Linked DNA regions of Oreochromis niloticus. The main gene of each other region encodes a partner of the protein of the gene in region 2 in a complex. Links are inferred from orthologs where the notes say so. Each region holds a gene or a part of one and is shown on either strand. Other genes may lie near its edges. The genes, in order: rbm15, virma, mettl3 and zc3h13.

Region 1 (7,349 bases), on a different chromosome or scaffold from region 2:
TTGTAGAGGTTTATACTTAAACAATTATAAAATCGAAATCAAATTTAGCATTCCATAAAAATAAATTTAAGCTGTATCTTCAGGCAATGATAGTCTCAAATGATTAAATTACAGTGTATATTGACGCAGATTGACTTAGAAAAAACTGTTAGAATTTGTATACGATTGTATATTTATTTTGGTGGATGTGTAACTTTTCCTTTGCATTTTCCTGCCTTGCTTCAGTTCGGGACAAAGGCACTCCGAAAACCATGGGCTATCCTGGGATTGGCACAGACTGTTGTGGCAAGCTCAAAGAGCCAGGCAGTGGTTTACAAGGAGATTCTATCGCTGACTCCATTGACTTATCTGGCAAAAACAAGAAGCGACGTAATCGCACGACCTTCAGCACATTTCAGCTTGAGGAGCTGGAGAAAGTGTTTCAAAAGACACACTACCCCGACGTGTACGCCCGGGAGCAGCTGGCGCTGCGGACGGAGCTCACTGAGGCTCGGGTTCAGGTATGCCAGGGCAACTCCATCACAGTTGACACCTTTTTTATTTTCTAAATGTAATCAGAAGAAAGTATAAAGCCCAAACAAAAAATTGTCTTCTGGAAATTTACTGTTATACTTTTTTGTGTTATAATATATTTTATTTTTTAAAAGGTTTGGTTCCAAAATCGCAGAGCCAAATGGAGGAAACGAGAACGCTATGGGAAGATCCAGGAGGTTCGCAACCACTTTGCTGCTACATATGACATTTCTCTTCTTCCTCGCCATGACGCATACCAGGTAGGCCAATGTAGCTCTCACATGGCATGCATGTTGTAGTAGTAAACTTAACATTATAGAACTTGCTGAGAAATTGCATTTTTTTCACGTTACAGGACTGAACAATATTAAAACTTTTGCTGATATTGTTCTAAATTTCTCCGTATCCAGATGCAGGGCAATCTGTGGCCGGGGGCAGCTTCAGGAGGAGGCGGTGGTTCAGGTGCAGGCTGTGTCCTAGGGGCTGACTCTATCCCCTCATCCTGCATGAGTCCGTACCCTCACCCCCACAGTAATCTGCAGGGCTTCATGGGCATGCCCACATCCTCCAGCCACCCGCACCATCACCATCACCCGCCTCACCATCCAGGCATCAACAGTCTCTATTCTCTCCACGGCTTCCCAGGAGGCCTCGGGTCACCTTCCATCGAGGGCCCCGAGACCGAATACAAGCCAACAGGCCTGGTGGCACTGAGGATGAAAGCCAAAGAACCAGGCAGCATCCTCTCCTGGCCAACATGACCATAATAACGCCAGCTCCCCATTATGCACTGACTGAGCCGCAGCATATTACAGTCGTCACCCATACACGATCCCAGATGTACATTTGTGGATTTGACTCGAATATTTCCTCCAAACATTTATATAAATCAACTTGGAGACGTGTTGCTATTCAGAAATGTTGGAACAGGCATTTTGCAAACAATAAGGGCAACTTAAGAATCTTGCACGAAACCCAACCTATTAATACGAACGTTCTTGTTTAGAGTTCTTATTTTGCATCACAGTGCTGAGACCAAAGAGGAAAATTATTTAAGCATGTAAAAAATGTATCATATTAATCCCTTTTAATGTCTGTTGTGTTGTGCGTGAGTAATAAAGGGCTCCATGTAAATTTAACTGTCTTATTCAGCAGCAAACTATTTTGGAGAAGAGGGATTTTCTTTTTCTTTGTTTTTTCTTTTTTCAAAATGAACAAAAACCATCTCAGTTATAATTATTTTAGCCTTGACTCTTTTGCAAAACGATAGCCACGTTTGCAATGCAAATATAACTGGGAATGTGGTTATGAGGTAAAAATACTTTACAGGCTGTGGATCCCATAAAAAAAAAGGTTTCTGCTGTGCGGAAAGTGTACAGAGTGAATGTGCAGCCCGCTAGGCTTCACTTCAACTTACACTCCATGCATCAGGGGAAAGTGGCAGGTTCATAATGGAAAAACTAACCTGGTGACCACACTTCACTACTGATAATAAAGTAGATAACCACAGATGATTATGTATTTGTCATGCATGTCCTACAATGTGAGGTGTTTAATCGATTACTGTGGCTCAGAGCATATTTTGTATGCTGAGGCCAGGTCAAGGTCAAGTTTCTTCTGCATCCATGTGTACAAGCAGAATGTAACAGAGATATACTCACATTATCCTGAATGCCGTGCTAATAATTGTTTTCAGAAAAATCTCCCCAAACAATTTATGTTATTGTCAAGGAAACACTGAATTGCACGGTACATCCCATATGGTGTGAATTACTAAATGCCAGTGCATTCATGTCAAACTGGCAAACATTTCAATCTGTGAGACTGAGAACTGAATGTGAATTGAGAAAAAGAGTTTCACTGCGGGACAAAGCCCCGCCAAGCTGAACTCACTCCCCGGGAGTGTGCATGGCTTTCAGGGGAATATATTGGCTCCCCTTTGTCTTTGCCTGCTTCGCCTTGACGGCGATGCAGGGGCGGATTAGCTGCCTTTCCCTAAGTCTGTGCCGGAGTTTCCTGAGAGCCACTAACATGTGGTTCCAATAGAAGAATGCAGAAAGCCATCAGAAACACTTTCCACACCCACAGCTTCAAATTCCAGCCAGTCCCTGGGAGACGGCAGCTCTCACTGCAGTCACATAGTCCCCCTGATTAATTCCCAGATTAAGAGGAGAAGATAAGAAGACCTGTCAGAAGGGATAAGGGATTGAGGAGATTGCCGTGTTTAGGAAAGCTGGAGAAATAGCAGATGGCGGATCAGAGCTTAATTTTGATATTTATTTTTACAGTGTGAGCAGGTTAATCAAATCCACTCGTAAACAAAAGAGGAAGCTCGGTGGTTTACTGATTTTGATATTTTAATTCCTTAAAACAGTCAGAACAGCTGTAATAGATTAACTCAGGGGCTCATGATCATAGTTTGGCTTATTCTACTTCAAAAATGTCTCAGAGTGAACGTACAGTGATGTCATTTCACTATAGGGGGCCATAGGTTTTCATCAAGCTCTCATTAAAGTTATCATGCTGTTGCATTGGCTTTGATCTGTGTTGAATCAATGTATCAGGATCCAAAGAGCCTCTATGATTTTTTCAGAAAGAAATGAAAAATGATGAGTCATTGCTGCACAATGCTAGAGCTAATCATCACTCAGTATGTCAGGGTTGCTAGCTGTAGACTGTCACAAGAGCCTGGAAGCTAGTACACCCTCGGCCTCATTACTGGACTAAAAAATATGATTTAAGGCTCATTAAAATCGGTAAAGCTGACTGCTGGCCACTGCTCTGAGCTTTGATCTCAACAAGATTTATCTTGGCTTCAAGGTGCAGCTATTGAGACACAACAGATAGGCTACTTTTATTTAACATATCCCACTAAGGTAAACAAAGTAGTGCACTGTGTGATTGGCTCAGTTTCAGCAGTTTGTCAAGGCTGCTTCCAAAATTTTATCACTAGGAAAAATGTTTTGGCAGTTCATCCGAGAAAATCAAATATTCAGAATATAAAATGCTTGTGCAGAAGTGCAAACAGCAGTGCTCGATTTGAGCCAAAGCACGACTTGTAAAAAATGGCGAACTACTGTGACACATTAAAGAGCAAACATTAGTAGGTTGTAGTGTGATGCTTTGAACTTATATCTTTAAAAGGCTGTAATAGCTACTGCTACATGTGGCCTACACTGTAGCAGACATTAGTCAATATCAGCAGCTTGATTTGTTCATATAGTTGCCAGGAAAGGCCCTTTCCACTCAATGCCAAGGGGAGTGGGCTGCTGCACTTTCTGTTCAATACTGCCATCTTGTGGTATTGGCTCTAATTGAAGATAAGAGGATTATCTGTTCGCCTCCACACCGCAATTAAGTCATCTCACCTCCCGGGAAAAACGAAATGAATAATATTCTTAAGAAACCTGCCTACGGTATTATACTACAGTTAACAGTGGATGGACAGCAGAAACTGGCGTTGTGATATAAGGAATAAGATTTATCTTAAGCCTTAAGGTGCAGCCATTTAGACCTAACAAATAGGCCACTTTTATTTAACTTTTATTTAAATAAGTAGAATAGCATACAGCTCAACAGAATAAAAAATAATATGACAATGCAAGTGTCTTAATAAGGTAAAAGCTTTTCTGAAATTTCAAAGGAATGCAAAATACAAATAAAGTAATATTTACGTTTATATTTAAACAAACACAAACAATTTCGATAACTTATTTATTTATTTGTTATTTTATACTCAATTTAATTTATTAAGAAAATATAAAATTATAGTGCCTGCCGCTGGGTGATTGACATGCGCTTTAAAGTTTCCCACCCACTTTCTAACCAATCAGAATGAAGGGGTGGGTCTTCGAGCTAATCTTTACAAAATGGCGACTGTTGTTGTTTTGCCGCAGGGTCAGTGAATAAACCCGTTTTTCACTTCAGTAAATTTCTGCATTAAGTTGCAGAAAATATCGCACCAAGGAAGAGCAAGTGTCCCGACGGTTGACACCGAGTGGGCCGAAATGAAAGGTAAAGAGCGGTCGCCGATTAAAAAACGCTCCCGGGCCCTGGACGATATTCGAGACAGGGGAGGATGCCATCCGACCAGCAAGAAAATGGGGGCTCTGTCCGTTTCCAGTGGGAGTAATAATGGAAACAGTTCGTCCAAAAGCGACGGCGGCTCGACAAGACGGAGTCTCCTCGGGGAAAAAAGAGACCGAGATTTCGACGGTCACAGCCGGACTGGAAATAATCACAGTTGTCAGTCTGCAGCTGCCGCCGCCGCTGCAGCGAGCTCCGTGGGCAAAAACCACAACCTGAGCCTGACGCTGGATTTAGCCTCACCGAGGACCACCTCCCGGGGTGAGCCGCGGCTGCAGCCGCCCAGCACAGAGAGTGAGTACAAAACGCTCAAAATCAGCGACCTCGGCACTCAGCTTAGCGACGAGGACATCGAGGACGGACTCTTTCACGAATTTAAAAAATTTGGGGATGTGAGCGTCAAGATAAGTCGTAGCAACGACGAGCGGATAGCCTTCGTAAATTTTAGGAAGCCGGAGGACGCCAGAGCGGCTAAGCACGCCAGGGGACGGCTGGTGCTGTACGACCGGCCGCTGAAAATCGAGGCGGTCTACATCAACCGGAGGCGAAGTCGGTCTCCGGTGGAGAGAGACTTGTACGGTGCAGCTCAAAGCCACAGACATTTGCAGCGACCCCTCTCGCCCACCGGGCTGGGATATAGAGACTACCGGCTGCAGCAGCTAGCCTTGGGACGGCTTCCTCCACCCCCACCACCACCTTTGCCGAGAGAACTGGAGCGGGATAGGGAGTTCGCTCTGTTTGAAGCCAGAGCACGCCCAGCCTTCATTGCAGAACGGGCAGCTTTCCGGGAAGAGGATTTTATTTCCCCAGAAGACGACCAAAGAGCTAATAGGACGTTGTTTTTAGGCAATCTGGATATAACTGTTGCAGAAGCAGACCTCAGGAGGGCTTTTGACAGGTTTGGAGTCATAACAGAAGTGGACATTAAGAGACCAACACGGGGGCAAACCAGCACGTATGGATTTCTGAAATTTGAGAATCTTGACATGGCTCATCGTGCTAAGCTTAGCATGTCTGGTAAAATAGTGGGCCGCAATCCCATAAAGATAGGCTATGGGAAAGCAACACCGACCACGCGCCTGTGGGTGGGTGGTCTTGGACCGTGGGTTCCCTTAGCTGCCTTGGCAAGAGAATTTGATCGCTTTGGCACTATAAGGACCATTGACTACAGAAAAGGGGACACTTGGGCCTATATTCAGTATGAAAGTTTAGATGCTGCACAAGCAGCATGCACACACATGAGAGGCTTCCCACTGGGAGGCCCAGAGAGAAGACTTAGAGTGGACTTTGCAGACACTGAGCATCGTTACCAGCAGCAGTTCCTGCAGCCTCTCCCAATACCACCATTTGACATGGTGGCTGAGTCATTTGTCCACCGTGCCACACCTGAGCCACTGAGGGTCAGGGAACGAACTCCACCGCCGCTTCACTTCAGGGAGAGAGAGCTGTTTCCTGGAACTGACTGGCCCAATCCTGCTATTCGTGAGCGGGTACGTGCCTCACCTTTTGAGCCTCTGGAGCATTTGGACCGTGAGAGGCGAACTCGTGAGCCCTGGTCTTTGGAAAGAGAGCTGCAGGGGCGAGAGCCTGCGCGAAAGCGGCGCATATTGGAGGACGGACGCCACATAGACCACTCCCCTGATAGCACTGAGAGGACAGTAAGACGCAGACGTGCTTCTCCAGATGGCAGTCCTGGAGGCAGCAGCAGAGATGGAGGGCGCTTTAGTGACTCAGAACGCCCCCTGCGGGGCGAGAGAGCCTCTCCTGCGAGAGAACGCCACAACAGCCTTGAAAGAGGTGTGTCAGACCGAAGGCCCAAAAGCCAGAGTCTGTCTGATAAGGGACTTTCAAGCAACATTATTTCAGCAGTTGGAGAGCGCAAGCGCAAGGCAATCGATGGTGGCAAAGGACCAGCCAAGAGAGAACGTTCTGAGAGCAGCTCAAAGGGAGGCCAGCCATCCAAGCCGGATGGCAACAAACTCAGTTTGGCGTGGCATGGTATGCTATTGTTGAAGAACAGCAACTTTCCAGCCAACATGCACCTGCTGGAGGGAGACCACAACGTCGCCAGCGACCTGCTTGTCGACAGCGCTACAGGAAGGCGAGTGAGCGAGCTAAAGATCACGCAGCGACTCCGGCTGGACCAGCCCAAGCTCGACGAGGTGTCTCGGCGCATCAAGGTGGCAGGTCCGGGCGGCTACGCAATCCTGTTGGCGGTCCCCGGCACCACAGAGGATACATCTTCATCCGACCCTGCAGCTTCAACTCAGCGGCCGCTTCGCAACCTGGTGTCCTACCTCAACCAAAAACAAGCAGCTGGAGTCATCAGCCTGCCTGTGGGAGGAAGCAGAGATAAAGACAACACAGGGGTTCTTCATGCTTTCCCTCCCTGTGATTTCTCCCAGCAGTTCCTGGATTCCTCTGCCAAAGCTCTGGCAAAAAGTGAAGAGGACTATCTAGTCATGATTGTGGTCCGCGGAGCATCTTAAAGAAACAAACTACACTAAATTCAAATGGAATAAAAAAAAAAAAAAAAAATCTGCTGTATGTCAGTAACTATTGCATGCTGTGTGTTCTGCATCATGGAGTACACTAGTATGGTTATTGAGTGTTATGTTACCATGTAAGCCACTTAAAGGACAAACAGTGCCCCCCTGCAAAGCTAAAAGTATGTGTGTTTCTGAAGTTACTGTTCAGAGGTGTCAGTCACAATTATAAATCTGCAGTCATTTAGCCAAAATTCTGTAAAG
Region 2 (7,171 bases):
AAAACAACGTGTATCTTTAATAAATGTTGCTCACCAAGTGCCGCTCTCGAACTTCTCATTAACTCTCTCTGGGTTAGAAAACGTGTGGCCTGCAACAGCAAAGCGACAGAGTCACCATGATAACACACACAGTAATCAAGCTGAGACAGTTTTTAAAAGGCAAAGCAAATGGCTGAAGTCTAAATCAGGTAAGACCTTACATTTCTTTTCATCTTAATTAATGGTTTGTTAAATGGCACGCTCAAAAGTGGCACTCCAAAATCTTGGATCATCAATTTTTTTAATGATTTTTTTTGAAAAATTAACATTTCAGTTATCCTCAAGAGAGGTTCTAATTAAGTTTCTATTTTAGTTCACAGCAGGGTCTTACTTAAAGTAACAGTTTTGGAACTCATCAGTAGTTAAATCGATTTACCTGACGTGTCGTGCTAATGTTACTCGGTAATGTACACGGTACTTACAAAATGGCTCGGATAGCAGTGCCAGGACAACGCTGGACATAAGCTGAAGCTGCTTTGTGGCTACTTCTGCAGGTAAAGGGACCGATGGATCCAGTGTGGCAGAGGGGTCCCACATGGTGGGCACATCAACAGGTATACCAAGAGCTGAGGAGGAGGTGGTTAAGGAGCCCAAGCAAGGGAGCGACAGTGTTATTAATCATGAATACGTCATGGTCCAGCAGGATTGGAGGTTTGTTTTCTTCTTTTTTTCCTCTCTCTCATTTTCTAAGTCCATTTTCAGTTTAGTTGGAGTTGTATGCTTTGAGTGGAGCCCACTCTCTCAGCCTTCTTCTACACCTGCTCTGAATCGCCTCATCAACCTGAAGTATTAAAAGGCAGGATATCCGCAAGATCGCTACACCGATCATGGTCGTAACCAGGCCCTCGGCCCTCTTTGTTGTTAAGTTCTAGTTAACCTCGCTTCTCTATTTGCCCTCTAATCTCTTGCTCCAAATTCTGCTTACGACTTATCCTCATTCCCGAGGAGCTCTGCTCAAACCACCAGGTAAACTCACCTGGCTGCCCATGCTCCACCACCGCCAGCCTTACCTCTCTCTAGATTCCTGCCTGCCTTCCTGTAACCCTCCTCCACGATTCACATCTGCAATCAAGTAAGCTTTTTTACCTGGATCACACAAACCAGGATGTTCATCTGCATTTAGAGAGGCCAGCACTAAATCCCTCTGTCCTCTCCAAAAGAAGATCCGGTTGTGTAGCAGCAGCGTCATTTGCCTGCTCCCAAATAATTTCTGTTGCTGGTTTAATAATTTTTTTAAAACTAAGTCTGATCTGTCTCCAAAAGTCTGATCTGTTTTTTCCCAAATCATGACAGAATAGACAGGTGTGTGAAAAAATGAAAAAAGTGAAAACAGAACAGCAGAAGACAAGGTTAGAGATACACATGTGTTTTTCTTCCTGTACCTGTGTGTGCGTTTGTTTGTGTGTGTGTGTGTGTGTGTGTGTGTGTGTGTGTGTGCGTTTGTGTGTGTGTGTGTGTGTGTGTATGGGGTTGGTCCTGTTGGGTAAACACACACTCTTTCACTAAGGGCTTAGTAAGGTGCTGCCACTCTTTCCTTATTTGCATTTCAAAACCTTTATCCCTACAGCCAACAGCTCAATGCACATGTGTTGTGGATTTTTGAGGGTAATGCAACGCACAGTATGAGAAAGAACCAATCAATCGGATCGAATCAATCAAGCAAAATAACAAGTGTCTCGAAATCCATGACGGCATAAACGGGTAACAGGACATGAAATGTTAATGTAAACAGGTGACGTGTTAAAAGGATACACTCTGCCATGGTGTGGACATTCAGAGCTTTGAGGTCAGGAGCGGGGAAGTGCTTCTTGAACTCCTTCCGAAGGTCAAAGAAAGAGTAGAAAGAGTCTGGGACCAGGATGTTCTAGAGAGGAATAAATTGTGTGAGTGAAAGGCCCATCAGCAGCTGCTCTTTTTATTGCTCTGATACTCATGTTTGCACAGGCCACAAGAGCATGCACTGCCTACTTCTTCTATCATTAACACACAGTTTTAAAACACTTGGGAGAAATTTCATCAGCCTCATTGTGTGCCTGTCTTTTATCTGCATGAGTGTACGGTATGCGCATGGGCGTGTGTCACCATAGTGGCTTCTCCTGTAGATCAACTTTCAGTGTTAACATTAAAGTTCAGCGGGCAGTGCGATGCTGACACAACACATCCCTCTGAGAGCGTCGAAGGCTCCCGCAGCAGCGAGCGAGCGAAACATCCGCCCCGGCTTGCTCACCTTGCTCGCTGCCTCGGGGTGAATCACTTGGCGGATGTGGAGCTGCCCGTCTGTACACAAACACACCGATGTGCCTGCGCCCGCGCTGTTCACCTCATTTGTCAGTTGCAGATGAAACTGTAAAAACATTTAGAGGTATGAACTTTAATACAGCTGCTTTAACCAGCGCTGTAACGGTAATTAGTAATCAATAAATGGCCTATTAATGGATTTCTGGCCACTTTGAAGACATTACCATGTTTAAAGCTTTATCAATGCTCGGTGCTTTGTACACACAGTCTGCTCCAGATCCATTCTCCTGTTCCACGCTCTCCTCCACCACATCCTCCTCCTCTTTTTCTTCTGTCGAGTCTGAGAGGTCAGGCTTTATGAGGAGCTCATTCACCTTGCCCAACTGGTTCAGAGAGGAAAAAAACAAGTCAGCCTTGAAACAGCAAGCCTAGCTAGAAACTCAGAGGCTTTGGAACAATATAATGAAACGAGCATGAAATATATGTGTTTGCTAAATAGATATTATCACAGTGGAATGCAGGAAAGGATCAATTTAAACGTCTTCCATGTAAGGGAGAAGGTTTTTTGTAATTAAAGAGAATAATGATTTCTGAACAGGTGTGTGTAAGCAGGAATCCCACAAAAATCCCCCTGGCACACCTTTCTTGCTGTTAATAGAGGTCTGACATTATGTATTGCAGTCCACCTGTCCACTCCTTTGAACACCACATTTCCTGCTTTGGAGTCTCGATGATTAGCAAAAAAGATCAAGCAGCCTACAAGTGAGTTGTTACCTTTTTGTTCTTTACATCCACGAGCTGCCAAACCAACTGCACGAGCTCCTTCTCGTCAGACCCCAGGAGATCTCCGCTCGCGCCAGATGTGGCGGTGAAAACCACCACCAGGTAGTCTACCTGCGCCGTCATCTGAATCTAAAACAGACCACAGAAAACTAATCTAATACTAAACGAGACTAAAAGGGACTCAAGATCAGCGGGATGTGAAACGCAAGCGGGACGCGGGAGGTAGAAACACCTTTACTCTGACACCTGAGCGCAAAGGTGGGTTCCGTAAATCCAAAGTTTCGTCGCGTGTGAGATTTTATGTGAAGCCTCCCGCAGTCACCATCGCGAAGCAATGGCTGAACGCTCACCGCTTTTGTAGTGAAGCTACCTGTGCGACCACGTGACCCCTTCACCTGGCCCCTCCCTCTTTCAGGTGGTTCAAAGTTTAGTACGTGGCAGCTCACGCAGGACAGAAAAGGTAATAAATAGTTATTAATATATAACAACAACGACAAAAATAAATAATAACATAATATTAATAATAAATGTGTTATATTTTAGTTACTATGCAGTTAATTATTAAAATAATGTAATAAATGTCTCCATAACAATTCAACAAATCGCATTCAAGTCTTAAAAAAAGGAATTGACAAGAAGAAGAAGTAAAAGAAGAAAAAGAAGCAGAAGAAGAAAAAATGCTCGTGAGAACATTTCGCATTTTATGCTGAAATACGGAAAAAAATTCCGTGAAATCCGTGTAAAAATGAAACAGTTAAAAAAAAACTTAAAAATACTAATACAGACCAAGTGAAGCTATCATGTTATTAAATCATAAAGTTATTAAATTATGACTTCGTGATATTTTGCTTCAATGAAAATATAAACTGAGTAATTGATTTAAATTTTTTTAAATAAAAAATAAAATTTCTTACAACAACAAAAGTATTCCAGAAAACGCTTGTCAACTTTTTTTCTCCTAAACAAATATAAATTTTCCAACTATATTTCTCATAACAACAACAACTATTACCACTACTACTACTACTACTATTGTTGTTGTTGTTGCTGTTGTTATTGTTGTTATTTTTAATTTTATTTATTTGCTTCAGGGTTGTTGGGGGTGGGTTGCTTACTCCGGAAGTATTCACTTTAATCCGGAAGTTTACCCCTGGCCCGGCCGATAGCACTGGAGCGATGGCGGGGGACCCTTCAACGGAGCTTCTTTTTCTGGATACGTTTAAGCATCAGAGTGCAGAGGTAGTGTTTTTTAACACTTAAACACACTCTTTTATGTTTACCCCATGACTACCTGCATTAAAAGTTAGTTTTAAGCGCATTCAGGAGTTTTGAGGAAGGATGCTTAACTTCCAGGCTAACGCTGTTAGCTAACATTAGCAGCGGTGTGATGTCATTATCCTGGTTTTAAGCGGCGATTACTGCACAGCTGTCCGATTATACAAAACGTGTGTTTTCGGTGTCAATGCAATCCTCATACATTAGCAGCTAAAAGAGTTGCCGTCTTTTGTGTCCTTGCACAGTTTGATTGATGGTTAGCCAGGTGGCTAATGCTACATCAACATTACAGTATCCCCAATATGTAGAGTGGCTAAGCATGTTTACCACGAAGCGGGAGTAAAAGTGACTTCTGCGGATGCCGGGGGCTATAAATTATGCATTTCACCATTGTTTGTATCAGTAATCATGTCTCCTTTGTTTCAGTTAACCAACATAGACGTGGTGCGCTTTCCCTGCGGGGTGCTGATCACAGAGGTGCGGGTCATTCCTCCAGGGATCAAAGCTCACAGTAACCTTCCTGACAGCAGAGCGTTTGGGTAAGATTCATCATGCCCGCATGAAAACTCATGCACACACTCATGGATCTTATTGCTACACCCAGTTAGGCTGAATGCATTCTAATCTAACAGCGTTGCCAGCATGTATATCGCACAGTTGTCTCAGTACTAATTGAGATACTGTACCTTTAAAAGGCAAACACCATACATGATTTCAGTGTGGCTACCGTCCTCATCAATGCAGTCTCCTAGTAAAGCAAAACACACTCTGAGTTTTATAGGACTCATTGGACCATTTCACCTATTAGTTGTGCAGAGAAACTATTAACTTCTGCATCAAACTGATAAGGTTTCATTTCAGAACAATGATTGCCTCAGATGAATCCATTGGTGTGTGCATGATAGTTAGAAAGTGCTTAAAGCCATAGGCTAAAGCACTTTGAGTCATGGGTTAAGTATGATTCAGACTTCTATGGGGAATCTTTGTAGAGTTTACAACACTCTACATAAATAACTGATGTCAATGCTGACATTGAAGCTTGTGCTGGTGCATTACTTGTTAATTACCTTGTGATGGTGTCCCTGTGTTTTATATGTGTTGCCAGCTGATAGAAATAAATGAAATGATGTGAATTTGTTTGGGTTCTTTTTTAAAGCTTTTTGAGGGGAGGGGGTGCATTTGTCTCTGTAGTTGCTCCACTCCTTTATACCTTCCCTCAAGTCCATTCCGATACTTTTGGTAATCTCCCTCCAGGAATTTGCTGACATTTTTGAGTCTTTATATTTCTGCTATGGTAATTTTTTCTTATACTGAAGTGACGATTGTTATTCTGTCACCGCTAAATTCAAAAACTGTGGTGCAAAAGTAGCCAGAAATTCACAGGAGGGATCAGTGGTACTGAACAGGCCAGTCACAATTGTTGTGGGTTGCGCTGACCAAACATTTAGTTACGTTTCTAGGGAGGTTATTGTCAGGTCACGGCATACGTTTCCCGCTAAAGCACAAATTTCCAGTTAGGGTAGAAAGGTGCCATTTAATTACCAGTCCATTTTCAGTGAAAGAGCTGACATGGTTGATAGCCGTGCTTGACATTTTACACACAGTGTTGTGCATTATGAATTTGGTTTCTGGGATACTGTAATGTTGATGTAAGTGTCTGAGGGAGAACATTCGGAAAGAGTTCATTAAACAGTGCTCCCATTCGGTCTGTAATTCTGATTTTAATTTTGGTATAACAAATACCTCTTTTCCACTAGCACCTGCTTGACTTGACTGGACTCACTCTATTCTGCTCTATTCGGGTTCTATTCTACTTAGTTTTAGTCTTTTGTCATTATAACTGTGTACCACCTCAATGTGGGTGGGCCCGTGATAGAAATGTGGCCCAAAAGTCGATTGATATCATTTGTACGTGCCACAAACACAACAGTGTTCAAGCTCCCTTTAGCACAAAAACATCTGAACCTCGTTGTTGGAGCACGGCGTTGGTTTGTTTGCATTTCCCTCGTTGCTGAGTTTTAAAAATGGCATGTTTGATTCTTGTGAAGGTGTCTCACTCATGACTAATCTGGTGATATCCCTCTCTGGCCAATCAATGACATGGAGTCTGTTAAGGTCAGGTTTTTAGCTGGACTCAAGTCGTTTGGAACCCTGGCCAAGTACTAAAATGTACCTGGTATTACCACTTAATGGAAAACCCTAAAACTGAGTCAAGTCGAGTAGGTGCTAGTGGATAAGAGGAAATACTCAATGGTGTCACCTTTGTCCCAATGCTAGAAATCAGAATTATATAAGAAAAGCAAACGTTGAATTGGTTTTGAGTTGCAAAAAACCTGGGGTCTTATTGCTAATGATATATTGCCTGTGGAGATGTTTTGGGGGTTGCTTTTTTTTTTTCTTTTTTTTTTTTCTCTTTTTGCTATGGATACCTGAGATAAATGTGTGTGTCTGGGGGAAATTGAGAAGCTTGTGTGAATAAAGAAGTGTGTGCATTTGATACCTGAGCTCCATTGTTGAACAGGTCCCAATTCCCCCCGAACCTGCTGAGTGATGTAATTTAGCTGAATGAACAGACTCAAGAATGCACAGTCCTCTAGCATTGGTATGCATTGTGGTAGTATTGATATTATGTTAAAGTGCATTTATTTTCTGGAAATCCATGATGTATAAGTAACGTCTGGTCCAAAGTTCTGCCATAAAAGCTACTTTTATCATAGCTACTGTGATCCATTTTTTGTTGATAGTCATAAAAGTTGAAATCAGTTTCATTTTTATACTGGGATCATTGCTGACGGTGGTGGTGGTGGCTTTTCTAATATTCTAACCCCCCCTATAA
Region 3 (8,003 bases), on a different chromosome or scaffold from region 2:
AAGTATTTATAACAGTGGAAGCAAACAGGCTCAAAGGTCATGTGCTGCTCATATGCATAATTACGACTATAACAATGAAGACAACATGAGTAATAAAAAGATGATGACATTAAAGAAATTATGTGATCTTAAAATACTTGAATTACGTTAAACCGCTTCAGTTAAATCTATTTATCTTCTTTTTTTAAAAATCAGTACTCAATGACATGATTTGTGTAGCTATTATTTTATGACAGGAGTTGAGAGCTACATAGTTCAGATCACCCGTGTGAGCAAGACACATTATAAAGAGTTTTACTCTAGACAGAAATCACTTTGCTGCCACTGATTACACGTCAATCATTAACATTTTGGAGTATCAATGGGTATTTTCCAGCATCAGCATGTCAGAGCTTATTTAGTCATTGATAATATTAAATCTGATGGTGGCTGATAAACCACCTCGGGGACTCGTAGCACAACCAAAACACAGCATGATTTTCACCGACTTCTCTTATGTATGTTTTTGTATAAGGACATACAAACAGACATAGGGAGTATGTCGGTGCTTTTGTAAAGACTCTCCTACCTTGTTCTGTAGGAGTTCGGTCACTTTCTCTAAATATTCCAGCAGCTGCTTCTCTCTCTCTGGTGGCTCCTTCCAGCCGGGGTCGAGCTCGGCCGCTCGACTGTAGCCAGCGAGCGCAGACCCGTACATCTCCTCGTACTGGAACAGCGTGGATCTGTTGAAATGCAGCTCCGGGTAACAAGAGGCAGCTCGATCCACCGTCTCCTACACAGGGGGAAAACGGGAATAAAATACAGATGCCCATGTTGATTATTTATTTATTTTATTATTTATTGATATTCCCTCTGGTGTGTAGCTGTTCGTGTCTGTACTCACAGATTGTGTGTAGGCACTTAGAGCTTGTTGAGATAGCTGTGGATTCTGTCCACAGGTGAAAAACAGCGACACATAGGCATTTCCCAGGATATCTGTAAAAACAAAAGCAGAACAACATGAATTAATGTCCCAACAGTCTTTAGCATCTCTAACAAAGAGCACCGTCTGTCTTCACTCACACCAGGACGTCCCATCCTTCACGTCCAGCTGCACGGCCTGCCGGGCCATGTCCACGCTTTCCAGCACCTGCTTGCCGTGAGCGTCGTTGTCAGCCGCGGGCAGCTGCCTCAGCACCATGGACAGGTTGCGAAGAGATACTTTGTTCTTGCTCTACAGAGGTGGAGAACAAAACACACTAACATGAATGAATCCTAACAGAAAGGATAGGAGATGTTATCTGGATTAATGCTCAGAAACAGCTTTTAAATTCACTGGATATTGTTGCCAAACAATTCAGTGAAAGTACTGACAGGGATTGGAAAAGTGGGCCCCATTAGAGCTCTTTTAGAGCTCTTTGCTCACAGACTGCTGGCTTACTTGTCATTTATTAGCTTATAGTTAAGCATAGCTGGATCAGGTGACCCTGAACAATCCCTTAGTTATGCTGAAATAAGCTTAGGCTTAAACTTCGCATGATTCACTGAGCATTTCTTCTTCAGTCCCTGCTTTTCACTTACAATGTGCTTATACACCAGTATTGTATCAATCAGTTTTCATTATTAATCTCTGGCTCTCTTCCACAGCGTCACTTTTATCCAGTTTCCCTCCCCTCATCCCCCACAGGTCACAGCAGATGGCTGCTCCTGCCTGAGTCTGGATCTGCCAGGGGTTTCTTCCTGTTAAAAGGGAGTTTTTTCTTCCCACTGTCGCCAAGTGCTTGCTCAAAGGGGGGGGGGGGGGGGGGGGGCATCTGACTGTTGGGGTTTTCGCTGTATTATTGCAGGGTCTTTAATATAAAGCACCTTGAGTGATTTGGCACTATATAAATAAAAATGAACTGAATAAACGTGACAGTTTGGCATTTTAAAAACGTGGTAGTTTTGTAATTTGACAATATGGCTACATGTTTTTAGCACAGAGGCTGCTTTTGCAGCCTGTGCACAGCATTATGTTCATTACAATATTAAACAGAACACAAAAGTGAAGTAATTAAATATTTTCTTTGCATACCAAAGTATGTAAAGGTCTTGTTTTTGTATTACTGATTCTTGTGGTGTGAATGGATGAGTCTGAATAACTTTCCAGCTTTACCAAAGTCAACAACTACCCATCACACACGTCCAAAGAGCTGAACATATTGTTCAAATAACTAACTATGGTCGCGATTAAAGCTTCAGACCAACAACTATGGAGATAATGAGGTAATATAATCAGAATCTAACAGATCTGCCAGCCTGAACAGAGATCAGCTGAACACAAACCAATTTGAAGTGGATTTTGGGTTTCCTGGTTTGGGTTCAATGATTAGAAATGTGGAGATTGTTTCACCAGTAACTGGAAACTTGGGTCATATTAAGTTAATTACCTGCTGTAAGGCACCAGTGAAGCAGTTTTTGGCACCGATCAGATCTCCTTTTTTCCAGTACTGCTCCCCTAACGTGTTCCAGCCCTCCACCAGGCCAGGCTGCAGCTTCACCGCGCGGGACAGACACTCCTCTGCTGCAGCACTGAAGTCTGGAGCCACGTTCAGACATCGTCCCTTTTGCAGCAAGAACTCAGCTTTGTGTTTAAAAGCGTCTGTTGGAAGTTGTAAACGGAGCAGGTGTGAATGAAAGCCTGCAAATTAACTCACTTTTTTTACATTTAAAGAGACTCTTACCTTCTTTTTCCTCCAGCTGCTTCAGCGTCCGTGCCATCTCTTCTGCTACGTCGCTGTGTTTCCGTCCTGCATCCTCCACACTGTGAGTCTCAAAATAACAATCTCTGAATTTATACAGATCATCCACCAGCTCCTGTCAGGAGAGAAGACATGAAACGGACATAAAAATAGAGCAAACACACATTTCTCTCAACCACATCTGTAGTACAACACTGAGACACAACACATCAACAAAAACTGCTGAGGAGTAAAACTACCTGAGTAAACTAATAATTTAACTAGTACTAACAGTTTATACTACACTTGGGAATGTTCTGTGCAAAAGTCTTTAGACGCTGCAAATTTCTTTACATTAGGTTAGAAAACAGGTGTACAGAGATGTATTAAAATTAATAAACATACATGGAAATACAGTATACAAAGGCAAAAAAAAAAAAAAAAAAAAAAGGAGTCTTTGGGAATAGTTCTCGTCGCTTCTTGAATGACATCCAAAGCTCTTCTTTGGATGTTGGCTGCCTTTTGTTCTGTTCTCTGTGAAGATGATCTAAACCCCTGAACTCTTTCCACATGGATCAAAATATGACGGTACTTATCTGTGTTCAGAATTTCACTAATTTTGACAAGATCTTCAACATCACTGGCTCTCATCAGTACATACTAACAATGATTTGGACCAAAAATCACTGTCAAATGTAAAATTTGGGTTCATCACTCCATCAGACCTGATTTTCAGTCCAGTTGTTGTGTAAGTGGGCATACCGCATTTTCCTATTTCTTAAGGACAGGACAGGTACTGTTCCATCTACTGTAGACATTTTTTAAGCCTGTCACTTCTTCTTTTGTCCACCACTTGTTCAGTTTAATTATTTTTCTTAAGGACACACTGCACACCATACATGAGATATAGCATAGTTTTGCGCTAATATCTCTTTGGGAATCACCCATTTGTGCAAAAATACTGTTTTCTGTCTGTCAACCTGTGTTATCTTTCGCATTTTCCATAGATACAACTAAAGAAGTTGGAACAAATTATGCGTTTTTGTGACAAGCTGCTGGTAAAAAAAAAAAGTCCCTAAAGATACAATTAAAAATTGGTTTTTTGCCAACATGTCCGTTATGTGTAGACATAACAGCATTTTCAGGCTTGGATGATTCATATTTCACTTTGGAGTAATATAAACAAACAAACAAACAACAGTATTCCTATGAAAATGGTGAGGTATAAGGACTGGACTGGAAAGGGGTGAAAAATGAGCCAATTTCAAAAGAAACATTTTGAAAGACCTCCTTAAAGCCTGGAAAACTATTGCTCAAGACCACTGAAAATATTAGTACAAGATTTTTGTGCAGTATTGTGTTACAGCATGTTCACTGTTAGTTTTTTTTCTCATTTTCTAATTTAACCATACTTCACTCCTGAGTAAACTTCTGCTACAAACTACTCCCAGAGTGAAAGACTTCGTTTTTGTAACATTATAAGGCATGAAACATCGAGGGGCCTACAGAGAACAAATCAGTACAGCTGCACTCCTCATCCTTGGTGCACTAAACCCGAGGCACCCTGACAATGTCGTGACTCAGCAAGAAGCGCACAGATCCAAACAAAGCGCGAATATCAGCCCGTTATCTGGTGGTTTAAATCTGTGGTGTGAAACATCTGAGGCCAATCTAGCTACAGAAGGGTAAGTGTGGCACTCCTGCACCTGACACACCAGCAAATCTTAAAGCTAGTACTAAAAAAAATCTGTCCTTCGGCGTGACAGCTGCAGCCAGCTGTTGTAGCAACGACTCTTTCTGGAGACTCACGGGAAGCCAGCTGGGCACAAAGGCTGGAGACAGTCGGTGCATTTGAATAAATGTGTGATTCCGCTGAGAAGAGTTACCTTCATAATCTGCAGCTCGTCTTTGTTTTCCACAGCCTCACCACTCTTCTCCTCTTCCGCCATCTTTGCGTTAGAGCATGGAGCAGCAGCAAAATCTGACAGCGAGCTGGAGCAAACTGCACCAAGTTACTTAATAACTATTAGATATTGGGCTATACGGTATGTCTACTGCCACAGAAAGGTAATTTCTTCAAGGAAGCATCGCGAGTGCAGTCTTGTTTCAGCACAGAGGAAACGGGCTTTTAATTTCAGCGACGCCGGAAATTGAAGTAGTCCGTACTCAAAACGAATCCGCCTGGAAAATTAACAGGTGAAGTTTAACGTGGTGAATGATTTAGTTACCAACATGCCACCTTCGTAGATTGAGATATATATGTATTATATTTTACATCATATACCCTCCATCCTAAAACCACGACAAATCACTACGAAAGCGGAACGTTTAATCCCAATTAAGATGCTACCGGACACACATTTTCGTGTTGCACCGTACCCGCTTCCCTCCAAGGGTGGACTGGATTCAACTTTTGTTTAGTTTCCCGGACACTCGGTGCTCGGTGAGGCCAGTATTGGTGTTTTTTCTGCCGCTGAGTCCAGCTCGTCATGTCGGACACATGGAGCAACATCCAGGCGCACAAGAAGCAGCTGGACTCTCTGCGGGAGAGGCTGCAGCGACGGCGGAAAGACCCTGCTCAGCTGTCCGCCGGTAGGTTCAGGCCGGGCAGTGCCCAGCTAACGCTGGTATTGATACCAAAAGGGCAGTTCCCCCCCCCCATACATTTAACTTTACGTGTCTTAACTCAGGTCTGCAGCGCTTTGCAGCCATTTAAACTGTGTAAGCTGCCGTGTTATGGCGATATCGTTTTCCTCTGGTGCTCTAAGAGCCAAATTACAAATAGAAAAGCTTTCTAGAAACAAGGAAAGAAGGGGGAAAACATCCACTAACCTTGCCGTGAGTGGTTTAATTAAAGAACGTAATATAGTTATTACTATGTCTGAACTACACCTTTCAACCATATCACTCTGTAGGAGAAAGTATGGTAAGAGCTGGTGTTACTGACGGTGTGGCAAGATGTAAATAAACATCAGGCGGTCCCCTCTCAGCTGAGATCAAAGTTAGCTCACTGCACACGCCATCCTCCCCATCCTGCCGGCGCTCTCTTCTTCAACTCTCTTGTCTTTTGCTTTGGGTGATGAAGCGCTTTAGTGTATAGGATAAAAATGATTGTGTTTAGATGTGATTGAAGTGCTTGGTAAATCTTGAAAAGCACAGAAATGCACTCCAGTCCATTCATTTAGTAGCTGATTTAATTGAGCGGATTTGCCTTCGCTGGCGAAAGGGGAACTGAGTTTTATAAAATGAAGGTGGGGTTTTACTCGGTTGTTGCTGGAAACTAACAAAATATTGTGTTCGTTCTTGCTAAATGTGATGCAACAAAAAATTACTATCTATATTATTGATCGGTCAGGTATTTTGTTACAGGAGACAACCAGTAAATTAGCTCAGAGTATCCAGCAGTTGTAGTGATTTGCTATAAAGCTGCCTAAGCTCATTTGCTTTGATGCCATGCTGGGGATGTTGCAGTGTATATCAACAGTACGAGCACTGGAAAGGAAGAGGACATTTACCGCTGGCAGTAATCGATATGAGCTGAAAAACTTTAAAGCAGTTCTGCTGTTTCACTATGAAGATTTTCCTAATTCCTCAAAACAAAAAGGAGTAACAAACAACAACAAACAAAGGATGATTCTTGTACCATTAAATTAAACAACAATTTTTATAATTACTTAACCTTTTTATCTAAAAGTTATGAAACATTTTAAGGCCTTTCAAATGAGGAATATTGACAATTTTCTCTGAACTCGATGCTTCATCCTTTGTTGTCCCCTCAGATGGTGGCGGCAGCGCAGACGGGTCCACAGTCAGGAGTGACAGCCCTGCCCCGGCAGTTCCGTCCACCTCACAGGAGGAAACAGAAAAACCACCAGACCCCGAACTGGAGAAGAGGCTGCTGGGATATCTGTCTGATCTGAGTCTCACACTGCCGACAGACTCCCTTTCCATCACAAATGAACTCAACAGTGTGAGTTTTTGTCTCCATTGCTCGTGTTACCCTTAAACTCAGTGATGTGGGTTTATTTTTGACATCTCTGTTGTGTTTGCTTCTCGTCACAGTCAGAAACAGCCGTTAGTCACGGCTGCATCCAGAGCCTGCTGCTTAAATTCTCTGCTCAGGAGCTCATCGAGGTCCGAGAGCCCACCTCAGCTCCTTCTTCTTCTACAACTTCCTCCTCCACGTCTACCCCGACAGTGGTTGTAGCTGTGGACCACACAAAACTTTGGGCTATGATTGGATCTGTAGCTGGAGCCCAGAGAACTGGAGTCAAGAGAAAAGCAGAAGACCAAATGCACAGCAAAAGGGCTGCAGGCTTCTCGCCCTCGCTTCAGAGCTCTGCTTCTCCTCCTCACTCGTCAACCACATCGCTGACACCCGCCTCCTCCTCAGAGCCGGGGCCTTCGGCGTCAGGGAGCGGGACCGAGAAGAAGGGCAGGAGCAGTAAAAGCCAGTCGTCGCATTTGGACATGGAGATCGAAAGCCTCCTGAACCAACAGTCCACCAAGGAGCAGCAGAGCAAGAAGGTAACAGAGGGTTTTTTGGGGTGTTTTGTAACCACTTAAAAATGGAGTTGTCATTACTGCTGCAGCTATCGTGCAACTCTCTTTCGTATCCAGTTAAGCCGAGAGATTCTGGAGCTGCTGAACGCCAGCACAGCCAAGGAGCAGTCCATCGTGGAAAAGTTCAGATCCCGCGGCCGAGCTCAGGTCCAAGAGTTCTGCGATCACGGGACCAAAGAAGAATGTGTTCGTGCTGGAGACACGCCTCAGCCGTGCACCAAGTTACACTTTCGGTCTGTATTTGCTTCACAAGGTCTGACACTGTTACAGACAGCCCCACAGATTAAACTGCTACCAACAAATAAAACCTGAAATCAAACACAGCAGACATGATAATAAACTAACAAGACTAAAAGTTTATTTCCATGACAGTCCTGGATTGTCCAAATCATGAGAATACAGGCTGCTGTGCTGCAGCTAGAAAAGAGCGTATCATAAATATTACAGATTATATGAATGGGAAATTCTAACTGACCTGCTAAGTACATTTACCCATTGATCGCTTTCTTTTTTAAGTATAGCAGATGTCCATCAGTGTTTGAGTAATACTCTCTTTGGCCTGCAGGTGGCACTGTGATTATGCTAAATACTCTATATTTGATACACCACATTTTGAGAGTGTTCTGCTCATACACATGTCTAAAGTGCTGCACCACAAGTTTTATTTTGCATCATTTTAAGTGATCCAACAGATACAGTTTGGAAAACTGTCCTACATAAAGAGGGATTCTCTGCCCACTT
Region 4 (7,347 bases), on a different chromosome or scaffold from region 2:
TTTGGTTTATTTGTGGGATTTCGCACAACCCAGGAACAAATCAGGAATACATAATGGGCTTGGATTTACAACATTATGAATGAAATGTGCTCTATTTGGAAGCAGCCGGCCCCCCTCGCTTTTTGACAGGTTGTGTGAGACTTTAAATCATCAAACTGTAAATTATAAATTTTAAATTGTTATTGATCCCTTTACCCCTGGTCCTAAAACGCATATTTATTTTCTTACTCTTCTTATATTTATTTTTTGTTTTCTTGCACTGCTGTAACTGGAGCCTCGTCGTCTCGTCTCTCTACATACTGGACTGTATGTAGCGGAGATGACAATAAAGTTTACTTTGACTTCAGCAGCGAGCAGGCGCACCGAGGGCTCTCGCGCTCACTTAAAAAACATCAAATGCAGGGGTACATTAAGTGCAAATTATAAGTCTGTATCATAATGTCTGCTGTTTTCGTGTTTGTTGGTTTGTTTTTATTTTGTTTTATTTTGCGAGCTGGTTATTAGATGCCGCTTCAGCCAGCCAGAGAATCCCCCGCCGCGGCCGCCCCGCCCTCTCCTCCCTGTGCCGCAAGCAGAAGGCGCACGTCGCAAACCGAGGGCGCCCTTACTCCTCGCATATGGGTGATAGAAAACCGACCAGTGCCCATTTAATCCCCCAAATCGCTGGCATGATGTCGGGGCAGCATGGGTGCATGCAACTTTTTTTTGCCGATGCCCGTGATGCCGCCGCTACCGTCAACAGTAAGATAAGATAAGATAAAACTTTATTAATCCCTCGGGTGGGTTCCTCTGGGAAATTCGGTCTAGTAGTCTTGTAAACACATGAATATTCTGATAACATTACTGAAGAGAAGAAAATGTGTGGACTTCTATACGACTCAGTAAGGCTTTTAGCTGTGGCCTTGATTATTTTATCCATGTTATTTTTAAGAATTGTCAGACAGTGAGCGCATCTCACTTCAGAATACACAAAATCTGTCAGATGTTTGATAGCAGTGACTATTATGTTTCGATCCAAAAGTGTTTTGGTGCAATTGCTGCATTCGCTGAAGATTCTCGTTACTAGAAAAAAGCTAAATTCAATTTTCTTAGCATCAGGCGACACCAATGTTTCTGACTTTCTTTGACTTTCTTCCTCTGGGTTTTCAGAGGTTGGTTGTTGACTCTGACCTTCTGTGGGTATTAAAATAATGTATAAAATCACATTATTTAAATTATTAATTCATGCAATTTAAAAACATTTAGTTATTTCACTACTAAAGTGTATAATGGTTTAATATGACATGCCAAGAGTGCCAAAAGCCATTCATTAAATAATTAATTAAATGTGTCATTTATTAATCACAAATGGGAATTAAAGTAATAATTTTGTAATTAGATTGTTAATTAATTAAAACATAATTTCCTTTAAATTAAAAGCACATTTAATTATTTCAGTTAACTATGTCGTGTTTCCCATATGGGGCATCAAGAATGCCAAAACAAAACAACTAAGTACATTATTTATTAATTAATTATGTGTGTCAATAGATAATTCATTGGAAACGCATATATAAATAATTTATGCACTTACTATTTTTTAATTTTTTTTTTTTTTTTGCCAACAACATGTTTATTGAATAAATCCCCACTGACAGCATTAAAAGTCTTTATAAAATGAACAAGCTACCAAAAGCAAAATATTCGTAAGGCATTTCAGGACACCATTTGAAAATCATAGATTGCTATATATACACTGCCAGTCAGAAGTTTGTATTTATAGGCAATGTTCATTGTACCGAGGCTCAACGTGTTAATGCTAGCTTACTTTAATAAACAATACTGTCATATAAAAAGCTGGGGTGGCACTAGGGGTGGCAAGAGATTATAGATCCGCCCCTGTTTATGATCACTTTGAGAAACAGATGTTTAGCTGGTGCTACTGAACTTTCAGAACAGAGCAAACTCCAGAAACAAAAGCTGTATCTGATACACAGATGAGCATTATCACACCCAGGAAGATCAGAAGAATCAGGCGGCTGGTGGAGTGACTCGAACACATCTTCAGACGCTGAAAGGCACAAAATCTGAGTCTGGAGCTGAGCTCTGAGCAGGTTTGTTACCAGCTGATGAACAAATGACAAATCTTTAGTTTAATTCTCCCTGAAATGTAGAGAAAAGAGAGAGCAGGAAAGGTAAAGTTAGTTAGTTTATTACATCCAGAGAAGTATTTTAATATGTTTTATTGATAAATGTTCCCTGGGCCTGTGGAAAGGCTTTCCATTAGCTGAGCATGGGGACTCTCTGTGACGTGATCTTCCACCAGTTTCGTCCCTGTTAACGTGAGGGTGTTGATTGGGTGACCAATTCCAACAAGAGCCTGGGACGGTGGTATAATGCAGACCTCAGTGGTACCTGGCACCTTGAACAACTAAGGCAGAACATGGCTAATGACCTCAGGCTGATTAACAACACTGCACTCCCAGGGAAACTGAAGCTCTGGTGCTTCCAGTTTGGGTTGTTACCCAGACTACTGTGGCCGCGGACAATGTACGAGGTCTTGCTCAATCATGCCAATCGATTGTTCTTCACCACCCTAATTAATTTCCTCGTATGGCAAATTAATGACACATTGGGGGGATTTGTGTTTATGTACAATTGTTTGAACTTTTGACCCCACACTTTCTTATAAATGGCTCCACAAGTCATTTAGACTATTATAAACACACAATGAGTTCCTCAGATCTTCCTGTTGTTGTGAGATCAATCCAATGAGTAATGTCAAACGAATTCGTTTTATGCTGGCGTAGTAAGGACTTCTTTGTGGAAAATAGTACACTTGTGTGTATTGCTTGTGAATTCCACCAACTGTTCAGTGTCATTTGGCATGTTAAGTTCATCTTGGTCACAGACATGTTAATGTAATGAGTTAATGTATCTAGATTAGCTGTTGGATCACATTTGATGATTCCTTTTCTGCCTGGCAGCTGTCGACCGTGTTATTTTCCCTTGTAGTTCTTTGGCTGTTTAATGCTTAATGGTGGGAAGAAGGATTGTAGTAGGAGGTCTGTAGCACACTGCTTCAGAAGCACTGTGTCGAGACTTGATTCATTTGGCCAGAGTCACGTGATCAGTGACATCCAAAGCTTCATTTAGAAAGTCACTGCTTCGGTACCTGATTCCTAAGGAAGTGAATCATTTGCGGGATTTGTGGAGTGTTTTGATGGTGAGCGATAGCAAACTACTGATCATTCTATTGAGAGATATGGAGCCAGCGAGGAAGAGAGGAGGTTCTGTCATGTGGGAGCATTTTGAGTTGATTTTGGCCAATCGGGTCAGTTTGCCACCTTTCTGTTCTGGTTGTTTGCCTTTGTTTTGGGTTTACTTATTTTATTTGAAAATGTGAAAATCGTAAAATGTCTTAACAAAACATCTGCTTTTCATAATAAACATCATTACATAATTTTATTTTTTAAAATAATCTTAAAGTGCTATTCTACAAAATGTGGAGCAATTTAATTTGTTTATTCTTTTTTGGTGACAGTCTGTGGGACCCAGGAAGACCGCATACCTGCATCTCTACCAACTTCCATTGCAGTTTCTGTGCACTCCAGCCTCTTCTTCAGTCTGTTCCATGTGAGAAGATTTTCTCTAAAGCAGGAGAAATTATCTCCAAGAAAAGAAACAGACTCGGCCATCGCACAGTGGAACAAATTCTCTTCTTAAATAAAAACCAAACAGAATAACCTTAAATGCATCATGTTTTTACCTAACAAGTTCATAAACATTTTCCCTTTCCAGTTCACAAACAATTCTACTCCCAGGTCAAAAATATGTATAAGAAAAATGGCCTAATATAATATTATTTATAATACCACACCACGGTACATGCTTAAATAAGGAAAGTTTATTGATGAAATTAATCTATTAAACAAATAGACATCATTTTTTCACCCAAAAGATACATATTCAAAGCAACACAAGGTGGACCAATATCAGACAGAATTGTGAACTCCACTCTGTAGAGTAGGCAGTCATAATGAAGCAGTACACTTTAATTAATTTGTAAATTCAAGCTGTTCTTCATATTTTTGGCCACCAGATGTCACCAGAGATGACTGTGTTGAAAAGCTTCGACAGTATTGAAATATAATGTTTTTTCTGCTACATTTACAAAACAAGTTTCCCCGACAGCCGAGTTATAGTCTTAGCTAGCTAGGTCCAAAGGGGCCATCTTTCAAGATTTATATCTTGTGTGTATGTGTGTGAGCCACCGCAGATGACCTGGGGAAAATGTAATTAAAAGCTGTACACATGAACAGGCGGTGGCGGTAATGCATCGCCGTGGAGGTCGACTTCCTTCTTCACAAACCACAAAAGAAGAAGGACCTATGACGCGCACTCTCCGCCAATATGAAGGCACCCAGGGCAGTTTCTGCCTTTGCTTTTAAAGAATAAGCCTTGTAATTTTTTTTACAAGTGCTAAATCCGCCAGCCTGATTAAAGTAGGTGTGACACCGAAAAAATATCTTGGGTGAGACCGTGTTTTCATTTACAGATTAGCATGCAGGTTACTGGGGCAGGCTAAGATAGGCCCCGCGCTGAGATAAAACATGACACAGTTAACTTTAGCATTAGCCTGCATTCGCTTGTTTTATTCTAGTATGAGATATGCAGAATAATTACTGTTAACCTACGACGCTTTTTGAATATCAGATGCGTCCTGGTTAGTTAAAGATGGTAAACAGAACTCTGTTCTTGTAGTTAACGGGGAACTTCAGCTTACTTAAAGCTAGCATGCGTTATTGCTCGCTATAAGTTAGCACAGAGCAGCTGCACGGAAGGCAGATATTTGCATGTGTTTATGTTTTGGATGCTCGATTATGCAGAGGAGTACTAAAGCATCCGGGAAGGCCATGGGCTTATCAAACGGTTGCAACAGTAACAGTGAGAACTGGGTTTTCGGTTGCAGTTTAAGATCCGTTGTAAGTGAATGAATTAATTCAGGGAGTGTGAGGGAATCGCACTGCAGAGAAAGTTTCCTGACAGACTTGCTTTGTTTTTTGTTTTGCTTTTTTTAAGTCATTGCTTCTAAAGTGCCAAGTTGTAAACATGCAGATGATTAAAGACAGTTCATTGAGCGTTGTTTGTCATACTTGCAGTCCTGCAGAATGTCCAAGATCAGGCGGAAGGTAACAGTGGAAAATTCAAAAACCATATCTGACAGCAGCAGCAGCAGCAGCACCACAACCAGCAGCAGCACCAACCCCGCCGCTCCGTCCCGCAGGCCAAGTGTGTTTGAAAGACTTGGACCCAGCACTGGGAGTAATGCTGCTGATGTATGTATAACCCAGAGGTCAGATAGGGTGATCCAAGTCACTGTGTCTTTGAATGAATATGGCACAGTGCTTTGTTTCCCCTTTGGCCTGGCTCATCTGTGTTTTTTTGTTTGTTTGTTTGTTTGTTTTTTTTAGAGTCACTGTAGAAATTGGCTGAAGACTGGGAATTGCAGTTACGGCAACACTTGTCGCTACACACATGGAACTCAGCCACGAGGCAAAGGATTTAGCTTTAGCCGGTAAGATGACTGCGGTTAGTGAATTTGTATTGATTGTTGCTTTTAAAATCAAATCGACCTTTGTGCATGTGTTTTTCTAATGTCTGCGTTAATGAAACAGGTCAACCGAGAGGCCCACAGGTGATCTGCGGGAGAGGATGAAAAATAAAAGACAGGATGTTGAAGCAGAAAACCTGAAACGAGACCTAGATGAGCCCACGTCCCCCACAGTAAGAGTGAGTCCTCTGCTCTTTTGGTCTTTGATAATAACGCATTTCTGAATGAAGAATCTAGTTTCGATTTGAAATCATTTTGGAGATTTTAGTACATGATGCACAACGGTTTGTTTGTGTGTGGTGCTGTAGCAGAGAGAGTCCTCCAGAGGCCGACACAGAGAGAAGGAGGATATAAAGATAACGAAGGAGCGTACCCCAGGCAGTGAAGAAGAACCCACAGAGTGGGAAACCAATCGTGAAGGTTCGGTGTCTTGTTTTGATGAAGTTTAAAGGGAAAATGACACATTTATTTGTAAATACCATTTTGATGTTGTGGCTTGAAACGCTCTTCTCCATTTCAATTTTATTGTTTTGTTTTGTTTTGGTTTTTTGGTTGATTTTCAGACTCTGATATTGGTGATTACGACTATGAGCTTTCCCTAGAGATGAAGCGTCAGAAGATTCAGCGTGAACTAATGAAATTAGAGCAGGAAAACTTGGAGAAGAGAGAAGAAATTGTCATCAAGAAAGACGAGACTCCGACGAAATCCAGAACCACAGCCTTGCCAAAGGTAAGGGATGAGATGCTTTGATGATTTCAATACGTGACCTCTGGATTTCAAAAGTATTAGCACAGCTCACTTCCTCCGTTGAAGTAGCTGTCTGCAAGGGTGATTGTCATCTGAATTTTAGCTCGATCTGTCACATTTATCCTTCAGGCTTCCCCTGAGCAGTTAAGCTCCAAAGATTCACCCTCATCCAGAAAGTCCAGTGGCTCGCCAAAACATAAACGGGGAAACAAAGGGCTGGGCTCGGGGAAGAAAGAAAAGAAGGCATCAGTATCCTCACCTGTTTCAGAAACTACCAGGTAGGGAAGAAAAACAAAATATGAGACCTACAGATTTGATGAGGTTCTGATGCATATCTTCCATCATTCTTTAACCAGGTCTTCGAAAGGAAGCCACAGCAAGAAGAAAGGGCCCCGTACCCCCAGTCCCCTTCCACCGGTCCCTCTGGACCTGCCCGTGGTCGGGAAAAAACACAAAGGCAAGCACAAAAATAAGGAGAAGTCTGACGAGAAGCAGAAGGAGGGTAAAGATCGTGGACGAGATGCAGAAAAACACAAAGAGAAGAAGGAAAAACGCAGGTAAAGTGGGGACTTAGTGCATGTGCATCATGCAGCGTACGTATGTGCATATGTTTTTAATTTGTTGAGTCATATTCACAGTTATCCTGAGTTATCCTTTTCAACTTCCAGTGCTCGCTCTTTATAATGTCACCTTTTTGTTTGAAGGGATAGATCAGACAGTTCCCACAAGGCCAAGAGGTCTGTGACATCAGAGGAGCGTTCTGGTAGCGTGTCATCTCCCTCCAGGGGTGTGTCGCCCTCAGCCAGGAAGAAATCTACCTCTCCTAAAGCTTCCTCCCATAAGGCTTCTATCTTGGCATCCCCTCCTCACAGGTGAGCACACAGAGACCTTTTTTTCCAGGGCTGTAAACATTGCAGGATCACTCACCTGTACTTCTTTCTTCACAATTGGGTAAATATTTGGACATGACAGCCAAGAGGAAATAACGTTTTGTCACTGCAGGTCT

Evidence for each region.
Region 1: virma (region 2) and rbm15 share a complex: the UniProt entries of both Homo sapiens proteins name them as parts of the WMM complex. The link is inferred for Oreochromis niloticus from reciprocal best matches to the Homo sapiens genes VIRMA and RBM15.
Region 3: virma (region 2) and mettl3 share a complex: the UniProt entries of both Homo sapiens proteins name them as parts of the WMM complex. The link is inferred for Oreochromis niloticus from reciprocal best matches to the Homo sapiens genes VIRMA and METTL3.
Region 4: the proteins of virma (region 2) and zc3h13 are in contact, whole or in part, in a cryo-EM structure (PDB 7VF2), measured with the Homo sapiens proteins. The link is inferred for Oreochromis niloticus from reciprocal best matches to the Homo sapiens genes VIRMA and ZC3H13. Residues at the interface, in NP_056311.2 of Homo sapiens: Leu521, Ser529, Tyr531, Gln532, Leu535, Glu536, Ile538, Leu539, Leu540, Asp541, Val544, Val547, Thr548, Ser551, Leu554, Gln555, His558, Glu561, Val562, Ser564, Glu565, Lys567, Gly570, Asp571, Ala574, Glu575, Thr577, Ser578, Glu621, Glu625; in NP_001317494.1 of Homo sapiens: Pro1492, Leu1493, Asp1494, Val1495, Ile1496, Asp1497, Val1498, Asp1499, Trp1500, Ser1501, Gly1502, His1507, Leu1518, Lys1520, Phe1521, Pro1523, Val1526, Met1527, Arg1529, Val1530, Gly1531, Ile1532, Ser1533, Lys1535, Leu1536, Ala1537, Gly1538, Leu1541, Lys1544, Val1545.

The regions. Positions count from the first base shown.
Region 1 is NC_031984.2:21,081,506-21,088,854, reverse strand, and holds the start of rbm15 (RNA-binding protein 15), read left to right. Parts: upstream 1-4,341; 5' UTR 4,342-4,520; coding exon 4,521-7,088; 3' UTR 7,089-7,349. Other genes in the region: alx3 (homeobox protein aristaless-like 3), read left to right, coding at 226-500, 648-773, 924-1,274. UniProt on the Homo sapiens protein: RNA-binding protein that acts as a key regulator of N6-methyladenosine (m6A) methylation of RNAs, thereby regulating different processes, such as hematopoietic cell homeostasis, alternative splicing of mRNAs and X chromosome inactivation mediated by Xist RNA.
Region 2 is NC_031976.2:20,073,951-20,081,121, reverse strand, and holds the start of virma (protein virilizer homolog), read left to right. Parts: upstream 1-4,161; 5' UTR 4,162-4,236; coding exon 4,237-4,299; intron 4,300-4,761; coding exon 4,762-4,874; intron 4,875-7,171. Other genes in the region: esrp1 (epithelial splicing regulatory protein 1), read right to left, coding at 35-89, 462-605, 1,792-1,903, 2,267-2,383, 2,502-2,660, 3,052-3,183. UniProt on the Homo sapiens protein: Associated component of the WMM complex, a complex that mediates N6-methyladenosine (m6A) methylation of RNAs, a modification that plays a role in the efficiency of mRNA splicing and RNA processing.
Region 3 is NC_031967.2:19,740,402-19,748,404, reverse strand, and holds the start of mettl3 (N(6)-adenosine-methyltransferase subunit METTL3), read left to right. Parts: upstream 1-4,991; 5' UTR 4,992-5,188; coding exon 5,189-5,291; intron 5,292-6,478; coding exon 6,479-6,669; intron 6,670-6,761; coding exon 6,762-7,226; intron 7,227-7,319; coding exon 7,320-7,495; intron 7,496-8,003. Other genes in the region: ttc5 (tetratricopeptide repeat protein 5), read right to left, coding at 569-772, 884-975, 1,063-1,213, 2,409-2,620, 2,703-2,835, 4,586-4,648. UniProt on the Homo sapiens protein: The METTL3-METTL14 heterodimer forms a N6-methyltransferase complex that methylates adenosine residues at the N(6) position of some RNAs and regulates various processes such as the circadian clock, differentiation of embryonic and hematopoietic stem cells, cortical neurogenesis, response to DNA damage, differentiation of T-cells and primary miRNA processing.
Region 4 is NC_031986.2:11,841,482-11,848,828, forward strand, and holds the start of zc3h13 (zinc finger CCCH domain-containing protein 13), read left to right. Parts: upstream 1-4,332; 5' UTR 4,333-4,513; intron 4,514-5,141; 5' UTR 5,142-5,150; coding exon 5,151-5,318; intron 5,319-5,453; coding exon 5,454-5,557; intron 5,558-5,657; coding exon 5,658-5,772; intron 5,773-5,901; coding exon 5,902-6,013; intron 6,014-6,156; coding exon 6,157-6,323; intron 6,324-6,470; coding exon 6,471-6,619; intron 6,620-6,697; coding exon 6,698-6,898; intron 6,899-7,045; coding exon 7,046-7,213; intron 7,214-7,343; coding exon 7,344-7,347. UniProt on the Homo sapiens protein: Associated component of the WMM complex, a complex that mediates N6-methyladenosine (m6A) methylation of RNAs, a modification that plays a role in the efficiency of mRNA splicing and RNA processing.